Linked DNA regions of Tamandua tetradactyla. Each later gene encodes a partner of the first gene's protein in a complex. Links are inferred from orthologs where the notes say so. Each region holds a gene or a part of one and is shown in the gene's direction. Other genes may lie near its edges.

What was found.
Region 2: CACNB3 (region 1) and STAC3 share a complex: the UniProt entries of both Homo sapiens proteins name them as parts of the calcium channel complex. The link is inferred for Tamandua tetradactyla from reciprocal best matches to the Homo sapiens genes CACNB3 and STAC3.

What each region holds. Positions count from the first base shown.
Region 1 is NC_135333.1:109,718,393-109,725,500, forward strand, and holds the start of CACNB3 (voltage-dependent L-type calcium channel subunit beta-3), read left to right. Parts: upstream 1-4,086; 5' UTR 4,087-4,112; coding exon 4,113-4,157; intron 4,158-7,108. UniProt on the Homo sapiens protein: Regulatory subunit of the voltage-gated calcium channel that gives rise to L-type calcium currents. Increases CACNA1B peak calcium current and shifts the voltage dependencies of channel activation and inactivation.
Region 2 is NC_135333.1:124,434,055-124,441,318, reverse strand, and holds the start of STAC3 (SH3 and cysteine-rich domain-containing protein 3), read left to right. Parts: upstream 1-4,248; 5' UTR 4,249-6,215; intron 6,216-6,951; 5' UTR 6,952-6,952; coding exon 6,953-7,018; intron 7,019-7,264. Other genes in the region: R3HDM2 (R3H domain-containing protein 2), read left to right, coding at 1-93, 510-657, 1,580-1,677, 2,126-2,210, 3,119-3,459. UniProt on the Homo sapiens protein: Required for normal excitation-contraction coupling in skeletal muscle and for normal muscle contraction in response to membrane depolarization. Required for normal Ca(2+) release from the sarcplasmic reticulum, which ultimately leads to muscle contraction.

The sequences.
Region 1 (7,108 bases):
AGGCGGAGGAGCCGAGCCGGCGTGGGGCGAGGCAAGGCGTGCAGAAAGCACCCAGTGTGCGGAGCGGCGGCCGGGTCCTGCTCCCGCCTCGGAGCCCCGGGCCCGGGGAAGGGGGAGAGGCCACTAGCCCGGTCTATGTCTTTTTCTGACTCCAGTGCAACCTTCCTGCTGAACGAGGTAAACGCGGGCCCCCTCCCTAATGGGTGGTAGGGGAGGGAGACCAGAGGAAGCCAGACCAAGGGTGGAAGGCAACCCGTAGAAGGGAGAAGCCAGAGCTGGCAGCTCCTAAGCATTAGAACTGGGAAGGGAGGAGAGGATTTATGGGAAGCTGGAAAGGGGCAAGATTAGAGGGAGTAGGGAGGGCTCTGCTGAACTCTCCTTGGTACCTCACCCGGAATTCCCTGGCGTCAGTTTAGCCCCTAGAATGCACTTGTTGGAGACTCCTGGAGGGAGGACTTTGCAGAGGTGTTGGCTCCTGCCTCAGTTTCCCCCTTCAAGGCTCAGGGATTAGGATCTACACAGCTTCCTGGTGCAATGAGAAAAGCTAGAATGTATTCTGGAGGCACCCAAGAACTCTACTTCCCAAACCTGGTTACTCAGACTTTGCCCCCTCTGTCCTGCTTCAATGCCTGGCTACTTGCCAGTCTAATCTCGTCTAGGCAGAGATTGGCAGAAGGAGTCCTCTCCTCAAGGCTTGGACCCTGATCCTTTTTTTTTTTTACATGGGCAGGCTCCAGGAACCGAACCCAGGTCTCTGACATTCTGACATGGCAGGCGAGAATTCTGCCACTGAGCCACCATTGTACCTCCCCTGATCCTTTTTGCCCTCAGCATTCTCCCCTTAGGCCCAGCCATGAGAAAGAAAAAAGATTAGGGATACTGACATGTCCTGCTACAGATAGGAATCACTAGGTTGGCCTGAGAATTAGAGAAGACATTCGTCTACCAAATGGTAGAGGGCATTGGTAGCAACCCAGAGATACAACAAGAAGAAAGGGAGGCTCCAAAGCACCAGGAGAACCCAGGGGATGGGCCAGGTGTGAGGAGATTGAATCCATCTCCTGGGATTTGTTGGCATGGCAATTCATGCCTCATGCGCAGACTTATGCACTATTGTCCCAGATGTGGATGAAGACAACAAGGTGTGTGAGGAAGGCGTACTGCTGATACAGGTCCATTGTTATTTGCAGTCTCCAGGACTCCCTGGGATTAGGGAGAGTACAAAAAAGAGATGCCCGCAGATTAGATTCAGGGATGGAGAGTGAAGCAGCCGACTCAGCATCTGTCTTCACTGGAATCCTCTCCTAGGAGCAAGCCCCTTAAGGGTCTTATTGTTTCATACTTCAGATCTCTTCTCTGCCCCCAGAAGAAATGGACAGAAGAAATGGAAGTGGCAGAGAGAATAAAAGAGGAGGATAGAGGGAATGCTATGAAAGTGGGAGAGGGCAAAGAAGTGAAAAGCCAGTGTGTTGGGGGATTCCCAATTTAATATTATATATTAAAATATATAATAACCTCAAATTATATATAATAATCCAATATATAATAACCTCAGGATAGGGAACTGTGAAAGCAAACTGCATTCACAATAGGGACTGGTCCCCTCAGCTGTAGGGGCTCCAGCCAAATCCAGTTTGCCAAACCTAGCAGAAGGAGGATGCTGGGCTGGACGGGGCTTGGACCATCCACAGGCACAGTCAGACTAAAGGCAAACTAAAAATAGTTTTAAGATGAGGCCCCTTCTCTCTCTTTTCCTTGCCAAGCAAGCACAAACAAGTAGCATAGATGGGAAGCCGACTGGTTTAAGGGTCTTCTTCTCTCCCACGCATAGGCCCTTCTACCAAAGAGCCCATGAACCTTGTCAAGTTTTGGTTTCCTGAGTCTCCTCTAGCCCTGAAACAGGAAGAGACTGGGAATTATTTAGAGCAAGATGTTCTATAAATGTTTGTGGAAGGAATAAATTAGTGAGCAGAGATGGGTAAGGAACATTTGGTGGTCCCTCTCCTAGACTCCAAGTCTCAATGCTAAAAGACCCCCCAGAAAGTCTAGCCCAACATTCTTTTAAGGAGCGGGAAATAGTCTCAGAGATAAGTAACTTGACTGGGATCACATAGTTTTTTAGTGGCAGAGCCAAAATTAATATGCAAGTATCTTAACTTCCAAACATCTTTTAGCTACTATACCATATACCCTTCCCACTATCCCTCCCCCATTCCCCACCCTCTGCTCATGGACAGAGAGGTCCCTATTCTAAACTCTTCCCTTCCTGTTCATCTTCCTTCAACACATTATTGAGAGGGAAAGAAGCATCACTAAATGGTTATTAAAGTGATAACAATAACTCCCTACAATTGGGCAGGGATTTTTAGTTTATAGAGGCTCTCACACCCCCATTTTCTTATCTCACCCTCATAGTGAGGTGTGAAAAACTGGGAATAGAGAAAAATCAAGCTCAGGGACAAAGGTCCAGACACTAGGAGGCCTAAGACCTCTCACCAAGTGTGTAACCCCTTGTCTACTTCTGTCATCCCCCTGAGGGGAGTGGGCTGGGCAGGTTGGTGGGTAGGCAGTCTAGACCATTAATCAAAATTTAGAGAACTAACTTTGCTCAGGAGATGAAGAAAGGAGGGAGCTCAATGGGGGCATCTTTGGAGAAATTTCTTCAAGATAAGGCCATGGCTCTGTCTCTAATCTTGGGGCTCCTCTGGAGGAGACTGACTGGTGCAGAGTGGTACATGGAATCTGAATACCTAGCCCTCATCTTTGCTAAGGAGAGAATCTAGTCTTACGCCAGTGCCAGTGACTCTGGGGAGACATGCCTTTTCTCCCTTCCAACTCCAGTGTGGCCAGGACCCTATTTTCTCTCCTACCCAAAATAACCCCCCTACCTCCATCCACTTGTTTCTTCCCCCCTCCCTTGAGGCTCAGCTAAGACAGCCTCTCCCAGCTCCAGTTCCCGAGGAGCTGGCACAGTCCTTGTCAGGGAAGTGAGGAAGGGAACCTCCATCCCTGCTAGACTAAAATGAAATCTGCCAGCCTAACCCCAGCTCAGGAAACATCATCACCACTACCACCACCACCATCTCATCCCACCCCCCCACACACCCACCCCCCACCCCGCCCCTTACCCTCAGTACGGGGTTGGGCAACACAACCCTTTGCTGAAGCATCTCTGGACTGAGGGGGGTGGGCACCTGTTGGGATAGGGGCTGCTTTCATGGCGTTGACTTCCGTCACCAAACTCATTTCTCACCAATTCCATTGAGAGGTTTGCTTTTGGAGTCTCCAGGACTGCCAGGGCCCAGACACACCGCCCTCTCACCTGGGGCCCCTCCCCCGTCTGCAGCTGTCCCTCCCCCACGCCTCTTCTGTTTTCCTCAGTCTCCCCATTTCCCTGTCTCCCCGCTTCCTCCCTCTGCTTTTATCCCTTCTTTTTCTCTCCTGACTCCCGGTAACCTGCGCCCTCTCCTTTCTCAGCTCGAGTCTCGTCTCCCTCCCAGTCTCGGTGTCCCCTCCCCTCCCCCGCTCCAGCCCTTTGTTTCCCGACGGAGTATTTCCTGGGTTGCCTGGCGTCTGGGTCTCCGCATCTCTCCTCGCCCCGCCTCCTCCAAGCCTGGATCCGCCCCACCCGCTGTCTCTCCTCCCTTTCCTCCCCCTCCTCCCCGCCTCCCCCTCTGCCCCATAGGTGCTTGGGGACCCACCTTCTACCCAGCTCCGGTCTACTACCCTCTCCCGGCCCAGTCCAGAGCTCCCCCAGTGGCCAGCGTCCCCCACCGCCTACCCCGCCTTCTCCCGGGGAGGGGAGGCAGGTGGGCGGGCACTATTGTTGTAGGAGCCGGCGCCAGATTCCTCAGCCGCTCCTGGGGTGGGACCAGCGGGGTTGGGGGGGAGGAGTAGGGGGAGCGGTGATTTGAGCTGGGAGCAGCTGGTCTTCGCGACTCGCTGCCTGCTTCGCGCTCTCTCGCTCGCCGCTGCCGCCGCCGCCGCCGCCGCCGCCGCCCGCCGGGCTGCGGGGCTCGGTGGCATCTCTCGGGCGCGGCCGCTGCCTTCGCCCCTGCGTCCCGGCCGCTCCCGCCCCGGCGCCGCTCGCTTCCCCCCACCCGGACTCCCCCATGTATGACGACTCCTACGTGCCCGGGTTTGAGGACTCGGAGGCGGTGAGTGCCCACGGTGAGGGTGGGGGTGGGGAGTTGGGATGGCACCTCCTCTCCTTTGGACCCTTCCCCCAGTTCAGGACTTTGAAAAAAAAAAAAAAAAAGCCTCAGTGGCAGGGCAACGGTGGGGGCGCTGTAGGAAAGTGGGGAGGTGGAATTTCATGCCGGGGGCTCCCCAGTGCCCTAGTCCTAGACCAAGGGCCATCGGATGCGAGCAAGTAGGGGGCAGTTTGGGGAAAAGGCTTGGGCAGGTGGCTCTCAAGCATAGAACGGGAGGAGTGGAGGGAGGAAGGAATGGAGGAGTGGAGATAAATGGCACAGATGCTTTAGAGAGGGCCGACGCAATGTCTAGAGTTCGAAGAGGAGGATTTATGGGATCTAAACACAACAGCTACAGGAGGAGCTGGGGCTCTTGAGGAGGGGGACATTCCAGACCAGTGCCCCAAGTCAGCAAAAAATAAGGGAGCCTGGGAGAACATCAAGGAGTCTGGTCCTAGCCTTTTCATAAAGAGGGATCATAAAACTTGAGAACCTCCATTATCCCTTCCTGCCCTCCATGTCTGCGCATTGCCTTATCTCCTCACACTTCTGTAGCCCAGCTTCTGACCAAGGTTGAAATCCAGGCACCCACTACATAGGTGGGCTGGTTGACCAAGCTGGATCCATTCCACAGCTCCCTGCTGAGGCTTCCTCATTAGCAGTAGGCACCCTGAATCCCTGCTCAGCATGGAGGGCCCGGAGGTGAGGCCAGAGAAGCCGAAGGCCTGAGGTTGGAGAGGAAGCTCTTTGCTCAGAGAACCAGGCAACTAATAAATATTTAATTCTCCTCTTTGCTTTTATCTCCTGACCCACTGAGACAAGGCAGTTCATTAGGCAGTGATTCCCGGAGCTCAGAGATCAGGGACAGGATCTAGAAAGAGGGGGCATGGATGGGGAGCAGCTTTTCAGACTCCTGGAGTTATCAACCTTCCCTTAAACCTGAAAGAAGGTCTCCTTGGAAGAGGACCACCAGATAGATGTCTTAGAAGGGACCCCCTGATTGTTGTGAAGGGTAGAACTGTATGGTTACCAACACTACTGGGTCTAAAAATGAAGTGTATTCAAGCTCTTTCCTATCTCTTGATGCCAGGCTCAGGATAGATGAGTGCTAGGGCTCAGAATAGGAGGCTGTCAGTCCTTTTCTGGGATTGGGCTCCGGCTGGGCCTAGTTCCCCATTGGGCCTCTGGGGCTAATTACCTAGCAGCTAGAGCACATCATTTTCAAGGCCCGTGTCTGAAAAATGAAGGGACAGCTGGCATGGCCCAGGGTGCCAAGGGGAGCTTGAAAAAGGGACCTTTCTGTGGGGCTGGAGGGGAGCCGGGAGGTTCTTCACATCCCTAGAGAGAGAAGGAAGGAGCTGTTGCAAGGTGGATGGCGTTTGAAGGCTGTGTGAAAACCTATTGCTCCCTTCCTGCCCCTTTCTGGTTCCTAGATCCCCTGCCCCCACTTCCCTTTCTCTTGCCTGGCTCCCTGCTCTCCCTGAGGCCCCCTCTGAAGAAGTAGGAGGGAGATCAGACTCGAAATAAATCTACCGGCTCATCTCCCTCCTCGCCTTCCCCCGTGCCAGGCAAGAGTGGAGCTGCAGCCTGCCCACACACTCACCAGGCAAGGGGGGCACCACCAGGGCTCTGTGCCAACTCCTGGCAGCTCCAAAGTACTGAGCCTGTGACTGTTTTGGCAAAGCAGGAGATGGGGGAGACAAGACCCCACAGTGTACTTGGAAGAGGAGTCTTGGCCTCCCTCAGTGACGCCAGAGCATCAGAGATGAGTGAGCCCTGAGGACTTGGGAGTAATGAAGAGGGGGTTCCATTCTGAGCACAGCTTATTTAATATTTAAGGAGAGATCCTGTCATTCCCATCCTAGATGGGAGGCCAGGTAACCCTGATGTCCCAGGCGGGGACATTAAGATTACTATTAGGTTGACAGCCTAGAGGACAGGGAGTAAAGGTTAGACTCCTCTCCCAGCTCAGTGCTAGGCATCTAAGAGGTACCTGATATTAATTTATCCTGCCTTTCCTCCTGTCTCCGAGCCTATCAGCCCCTATCTACTTCACACAGCCGTATCCTGCAGAGGTATCTCTTTTATACTCAGACCCCTGGGAAAGACGTCCCTCCTACTGACAATGCATAGATCCTTCCTGGGGATCAGCCTCTCCTTCCTGCTGCCAAGCAAGCCTTATTTTACTCTCATGAGAAATGAGAAAGAGCAGACAGACTCAACTCCTCTGTAAAATTAAGACTTTCCCCCCCTTGTGCTATCTTCATGCGTTTGGTCTACCACAGATGTTATCTATAGCTTAAGCTCTAGGACCTAGGCTAAGACCAAGCTGACAAGCCCTCCTGCCCAAGAGACGACTGGGGCAGAGGCCAAGTGGACAGTAGGTATGTGTTCCCACTGAGAATCTGGTCTCTGCTGCCTCTTGCGAGGTACTTATGCACAGAGAACTTGGGGAAATATTCCTCGGTCTGAGAACATTCTGGACACTGGACTAAAGTTTCTTCCCCTACACACACACACGAACAGCTTATCTAGACTCCTACCTTGTTTGCCACCTGTACTTAGAATTGAGGGAAGCATCATTTCAGTCTTCTGCCCGTAAAGAAGGGAAACTAAAGTAGAAAACAACATTCCTTTCTCCCTAGACTGAGGAGAAACTCAGATATCCTGACTTCAGGTCTCTTGTCCCAGGGTCCAGCTTCCCTTTTTCATTTGTGTATCTCCCTCATAGCCCTGAAGATGAGCTCTGGGGTTCTCCAAATACACCCTCATTGCCCTTCGTATGGGCAGGATTCAGAGACTCTCTTTGCTTTGCTTACTAGAGACCCTCCCCCTGCGTCCCCAGGGTCTGACTCTTTGGCTGGGTTGCCTGGCACAAGCCTGGCCCTTCTCCAGGGCCTGATCTCCCCTGGGCT
Region 2 (7,264 bases), about 15 Mb from region 1:
TCCATGGTCCAGTGGAGTCACTGTAAATATTACAGCGTGGACCAGCGGGGCCAGAAGCCTGGAGACCTGTACAATCCTGACAGTAACCCTCAGGTGAGTCCTACAGCCCAGCCCTGTTTAGGCAAGGAGGTGGCTAAATTCTTCCTAAGAAACAGTCTTTACCATTGACTGAACAGCCTCTTTTACAAATCTTCCCCTGGGCACTTTTAGGGGAGAAAACACAAGAAATGGAAGAATACGTCCTCTTTCAGGGAACCTCAGATCTAAGGTAGCAGATAGGATACATACTTGAAAATGCCCAGAGAATACTTAAAATGGTGTGTCCAAATGTAGGCGTTAAAATAATATAAATTAATTATGTAGGGAATAAGGGGGCAATTTTAAGTAGCAGTCTGGTTTGTCAGAGTTCAGCAATAAAGACTTATTTCGTGAAGAGGGGGAATTTTAAGCCAAGCATAAGGAGTATTTGTTTTTGATGTTTATGTGATGGGTGCTACTCTCTTCCACAGGCCAACACACAAATGAGCAGCAGCCCCGTCACGTCCCCTACCCAATCCCCAGCACCCTCACCTGTCACCAGCCTCAGCAGTGTCTGCACAGGACTCAGTCCTCTACCTGTCCTCACACAGTTCCCTCGGCCTGGAGGTCCAGCACAGGGTAAGGGATGAGAGATCAGGGCTGACTGCTGTAAAATTCAGCCTTTTCTGGGAGCTAGTTCTTCCTTTGTATCAGGGAACCTCTAAAAACTGTAACGTCCCTGTTTAAGTCAAGAACACCCACCTCTTTCTAGTGCTGCCCATATTCCTTTATGTACTTAGTTGGAATCACCAAGTAGGTGACTGGTACTGTGGGCTAAGGGGAAGAAATTCATTGAACTTTCTAGTGAACCCAAGAGTTTAACCAGTCAGTACTGAGTCTGAAGGCTAGAAAAGTGGGGTTGTGTCAAACACAGTAGAATTTTAGAAGAGGGAACACAAGATTTGGGTTGAAAGACTTGGGTTCAAGTATTCGTTCCACCACTAACTCACTAGCTTTGTGATGCTGGATGTGTTACTTTAACTTGGAAAAAAACCTCAGTTTCCTGATCTATAAGATGGGGTTCATCACACATAAGATAGGAATCTTAACTGCTTTCTGACCTGGCTGTCACATGCAGTATAAAAACAAGATGAGACTATGGTTTAAAAAGTTAAAAATGCTCGTTTGTATTGGCTCTTACATGTGTCAGAAGATCGACCCCTGGCTTTTGAGGTGGGGAGAATCTGTATGAGATAAAAAACATTTGTAAGGGTCTTTAGTTTCCTCCCTGGTCATTTCATCAAGGCTTTTGTCTACCAAGTAAAGGTGAGGGGATGTAATAGCCCCATTTGTCTACAAGATACAGCTGAGAGCCAGGAAGATTAGGAAGAGAGACAACTCTAAAATCAGTCTCACGGGCACTCCTGTCACAGAAAATATAGGAATAGTATGTATTGTTGCTATCCATTTTCAAAGCCGACCCCATCCCATCCCCAAAGTCTCCTAAAAGTCATACCACAAAGCTCAAGCTCCCAGAAAACCATCTGCTCTTACTGCCTAGGTGATGGGCGGTACTCCCTCTTGGGCCAGCCATTACAGTACAATCTGTCCATCTGCCCTCCCTTGCTCCATGGCCAGTCGACTTATACAGTGCACCAGGTAAGGGTGTCTACCATCCCCTCCTACGTAGCCTTCAGGCCATCAGATTACCCCCTACACACACACACACACTCACTCACTCACTCACTCACTCACTCACTCTCTCTCTCTCTCTCTCATACACTCTCATCTACTCTCATCTGGTCCCCTATCTCTGAGCCATCCACCTTTTCCAGTTCAGAAGACAATGGAAACAACACAGGGAAAATGGAATAAGTGGGAGGGGCTGAAGGCCTTACCCCACTCCTGTACTCATTTCTTCCACCCACCCCAATGCCAAGAGGGAGGGGCTCTCTGCTTCTCAGTGACCATGCCTGGGCATCTGATTGCCTGGAAAGGTGTGATCCTCAGGACTGGGTGCTATTACTCAATCTCTCAGGCAGGAGTTGCAATAGAAGGCAGTTAGTGTTGTTAATCCAAAATGAGAATAGTCTTTTGATTGTTGAAGGGACAGAGTGGATTGAAGCATGGAAGCCGGGGCAAGAGACAAGCACTCAAATCTGCTTCCACTGACCTGGGGACAGCAGATGTTGGTGAGTGATAAAATCCTAAATCCCTGTAAGAAGGTGCCTACCACAAGCCTGCGTTACCAGCCAAGGATGGGAGGGAAAAGCCAGCTTAGGGTGGAAAATGAAAGTGGGAACCATTTGTGCTCAAGAGCAGGGAGAAGAGGGAAAAGTGGAATGTCTCAGTCTTCCCTACCAAACCATCCCAGATTCTTGGGAAGATAGTGGTAAAAATTGGAAATAACACAGTAATGGAGTCACTGAGTCTGTTAGCTGAGAGTCTTCTGGGAGCAGGCCTCACCTGAATATAAGACCTCTACCTTTGGTAGTATTTAGGAGGAGTCTCAGAGATTGTGGGGGAGTAATCCTCCTCCTGCAGGCATTCCACACTAGCCATACAAGATCTCTCAGGATTTCCCCCAGTTGGAACAGTTTGATAAACAAGGAAAGAAAAAAGGAAATTAACTTCCCTAGATGATAAGAAAGAAGATTTTATTTGGGCCAGCCTCTGAGTAGGAAGGGAACTGTGGACATACTTGAGATTGATTCATTGATTTTGTTAAAGCACATCAGCAAAACCCACCCTTCCTTTATAGCAATGGTACCCTGTGAGAGAACTGATTTATAGGTCCCCAGACCATCAACCTGGGATTCTGATTCCCAGACCTTCCTTTTTGCCTACATTTCTAGGCTATGCCAAGAGAAAGGTTCATCTTTTTCTCCTAGTTGCCCTAATCAGAGTCTGGATGGTGGGGAATTGGGTTGATTTGGAGAGGGGAGAAGATAGCAAAGAGGGAATGGCTAGGTTTTTGAGGACCTTGTATACAGACTTGTCAGTTGGATACTTCTCTCCCTTGCCACTGACCAGTTCTCCACCCCCCTGCCACTCCCCATCTTCGGCTCTTACCACTATATTCTCTCTCCTCCCCTTCCAGTCCTGGGGCGGGTGCTGGAGGTGACAGATCTCCCTGAGGGCATCACCCGCACCGAGGCTGACAAACTCTTCACTCAGCTCGCCCTGTCTGGCGCCAAGATCCAGTGGCTCAAGGATGCTCAGGGGCTGCCTGGCGGGGGCGGAGGGGACAACGGTGGGACTGCTGAGAACGGCCGCCATGCGGACCTCGCTGCCTTGTACACCATAGTGGCTGTGTTCCCCAGCCCCCTGGCTGCCCAGAATGCCTCCCTTCGCCTCAACAACTCCGTGAGTCGCTTCAAACTTCGAGTGGCCAAAAAGAACTATGACCTGAGGATCCTGGAGCGAGCCAGCTCCCAATAAGTGAAGGAGGGAAAAGGACTGGCACAGTAGGGGTGGGGACGAGGTGAAAGAGGGTCGAGGGATCCAGATAGACCACTGACAGGTAGAAAACAGGGAGACAGACGCTGAACTGGAACCTAAGACAGTAAGAATAAACGTGGAAGCAAACACTCACACTGGCACTGGACTCCTCACTCCCCTGCCGTCATCCCTTTTCTGTCCCACTTGGCTCCTCTCTGCTTCCCTCTCCTTCCCATCCTCTTCTATCATTTTTTATCTCTCTTCCCACCACAAAATTAATTTTTTTCATATTCTTTGGCCAGGTAGAATTGGGAAGGTCCACAATCCCGTATTCTATTTCCTTACTATCCTAAGCTCCCTTTTATTTTTTGGTCGTTACGAATATATTTATATGGGCAGAATTAAGAAAAACAATATTGATTTCTCCTTCCTCTCACTTCCCTCATCTTGTCTCCCAAACCCCACAGAGTTAAAACTTGGGCCCCCCTCACCCCCCAGAACACTTGTATATTGTTTGAAGTTTGTGCCGCAGTAACAGACACAGTATTTAATTGCACATACAGATGTTTGCTGGGTATATTCACTGTAAATTTTATTTAATCTGGTTTTTTGTTTGTGGGGGGGTTACTTGGGGGGAGGTTGATTTTGTTTTTAAATATAAAAAAAAATCTTCTGTCACTGGACATCAGTCCTCGTTTCTGTGTTGCCGCCCTGGTGTGGGTGGGGGTTGGGAGGGTTTGTTGTGGGTTGGGATGGATTTCCCCTAGCATATGCACATTTATCTTCCTAGCACCATTCCCTCTCTCCGATCCTCCTTCCTGCCCATAATTCTGATGGGTGGTTCTGGGTTTTTCCAATTCTGCCACTAACTGTGGTTCATCAAGCACATCACCTTCTCAACTCTGGATCTCTGTGTCCTTATTAATAAAATAAGAGACTTGGACTGACTAGGTGACCTCCAAGGTTCTTGTCAGCCTGTTAATTCCGTGGTATTCATTTAGGGCCCTTGTGGCTGAGCTAGGGAGGAATAAGGTCTAGAAATGGGTTGAAATGCTGATCTCAAAGCCCATCATCTAGTCTTCTGAAAACCTTCAAGCGATGGGCCTTTCTTTAATCCTAAAACTAGAGGATTGAGCTCTACTTGGCAAGAATGGAAGTGGGTGTTTTACAATAAAAGCTATATTATCTGAACTTACTGTGCCAAGATGCTAGATTTATGCAGGCATACTCAGCTGTCCCTGTCCTTTGCAGATGAAGAAAGTTCAAGAAAAGCAGAGGTCACCTGCCTGCAAGATGGACGTTTTCTATATCTGAGGCATCTCAAAGTTAGCCCTGTTTTTCTGCAGCCTGTTAAACAGGGCCCATTAAGGAGCCTGTAGAGTCAAACCAATAGAACCCTGCCATCCAGTGGCCCCCTTTCAATCTCACCCCACCCCCTTAGGAAAAAGAGCAGTGGGTAGAAACGGCAGAGCATATTGCCCTGGAAAATGTTGGATCTGGGTGACTGTATCTCTAGCCAAGCTCTGAAGCTTGTCTGACCCTACCTCCAACCTAATCCTTTATTTCTTAACAGACACAAGGGATAGTGCAGCACTACATTACCATGTCTAAATTGCTCTCCTCTGAGATGGGGGTTATCTTTTTCCAGCCATGTCACAACCCAAAGAATAGCAGAAAGCTGCATCCCTGTGAGAAAAGAATGCAAGCTATCGTACTGATCCATCAGTTCATATACTTGGGCATCACAGGAAGGAGGTGCATCAAGGAATGAAAATTATTTAGGAAGTGTGAAGTTCAACCATCCTACCTGCAAGAATTTGCAGTTCTCCTGAGGAAAGGAACATTATTTACAGATGATAAAAATTCCCTATGCAGCAGCTGTAAGCTTCTGGCCAGTGTTAACTGAACTATCTCTACCTGGTCATTAGGCCCTCACTCCCGCAAAATCTCTCAGATGGAAGTCTTAAGCCCTTACAATTCACTATCCTGAGGACAAGATTTGGAGATGTGTGGAAAGATCAAGGGAACAAGCAGTAATACAGATTCCTCACTCCTTTACAGGACAGAAGCAAGGCCACCCCTCTTAAACCCACAGTTAATAAAACATTCTAGTCTGGTTGATAGGAGAGCGCTTTCCTATCTTCACCAGTCCCCAGTCCTTTCCATCCTCAAGTTTAAGGTTAGATTGATGCTTGAGGTTATACAAACACATAAGTCACAAGAAGATAAAGGCTGAGAGGCTGAAGTCTGTAGTCCTTAAAGTAGGTACAGAGAGGGCAGAATTGGGGAAGTTTTTGAACCTTGGAGGTAAGGGATGGAGAAATGTTTTATAATTTATCTTTACTTCACCTTTAGTCCTCCAAAATCCATTCAAATGGGTGTACAGCCTGAACCAAAACCATTCCTTACTGAATTTACTACTGGCCTGCCCACCATAGATGAAGAATCAGGAAACGGGAGCTTTGGGGGACGGGAGGGCTAGGGTACAGCCCTGCCCCAGTCCTCCCCGTGTCCAATTTCTCTGTGTCAGCTGTGTTGCTCAGCTGTCCACTTTCCTCCAGCCCTGTCATTTCAACTCTGACACCAAAGGGAGAGGCTAGGAGGTCTACATATACCAACTGGTAGCCGGTGTGAGTACAGAGGGTACTGGGGGGGCTCAGCCCCCAGGGAAGAGGACCGATCCTCCCCCCAGCACCACCACCAAGGCCCCAGGGGCTCCTACTTCCCTCCTCAGGCTGACTTAGGGAATCCCAAACGTAAGTTGCCTCTTCATCCTCTTTCCATTTCTAGGACTGCTCACCCCAGCTGTCCCAATCCTTAGTCTATTCATCTTCTTCATTTCTACTTATCTCCAAGTATTTTAGGAGTGAAGTTATTACCTTACTCCAGGAAGAGAGCTAGGATTGGGGGAGGCGGTGGCAGGTTGGGGAGTGGGGGTTGGGCCAAGGGGATGGAGCAATAGGGAGGGAAAGGCTCATATTACTTTGAAAACTTAAAATAGCTAAGGCCTGTGGCAGGCTGAGATCAACTAGGCGAGAGGCCCCCAGGGCTTAAAGGAGGAGGTAGGAGGGAACAAATGTCTCCAGCCCATTCCTCCATGCATGCATGTGGATGCAGGCATGAAACCTCTTGAAGAGAAGGGGCCCAGGAAGGCATGTCAAATCTCTCTTGCCCACAACCTCCCAAAAGAAAGTGCCTGTAGGAAAATTCCCAAACCATGTAGCTTTGAGCACTGTGTTGAGGCTATAAACTCTGGGGCTGCCCCTCAGGGTAGAAGGTTGGATATCGGTTTAAGGAACAGGTTGGAAAATTCTTTCGTCTGTCTGGATCTCCATGGAGTCTTTCTGTTCATAAGCCCTAGGAAAGAATCTCTAAGCAGATTTCTTCTGAGGCCTCTTCTTCAAGGACAACCCTACTGCTAAGGACAGGAATAAGGAAGGAAAGAATGGCAGTTAGGGATTAGAGTTCATAGTGGGGTCCAACCTCTTGCAGGATGACAGAAAAGGAGGTGCTGGAGCCCCCTAATCCCTCCTTCCCAGCAGAGACTCGTCAAAGTGGGGTGAGTCTGGGCATCTGACCATTGGGTGTGGGAAGGTGGGAAACCATTACAGCCCTTTAAAAAAAGTGCCTGAATTGTTCTTATTTTTATGTGACTCATTTAGAATGCCAGCCAGCACCTACAGCCCCAGTATCCCTTAATCTTGGGGTGTAACCCAGGTCTCCAGCATGGCAGGCGAGAACTCTGCCGCTGAGCCGCCATGGCCTGCCCGATGACAATCCTTTAACATTGGATTTCCTTCACTCC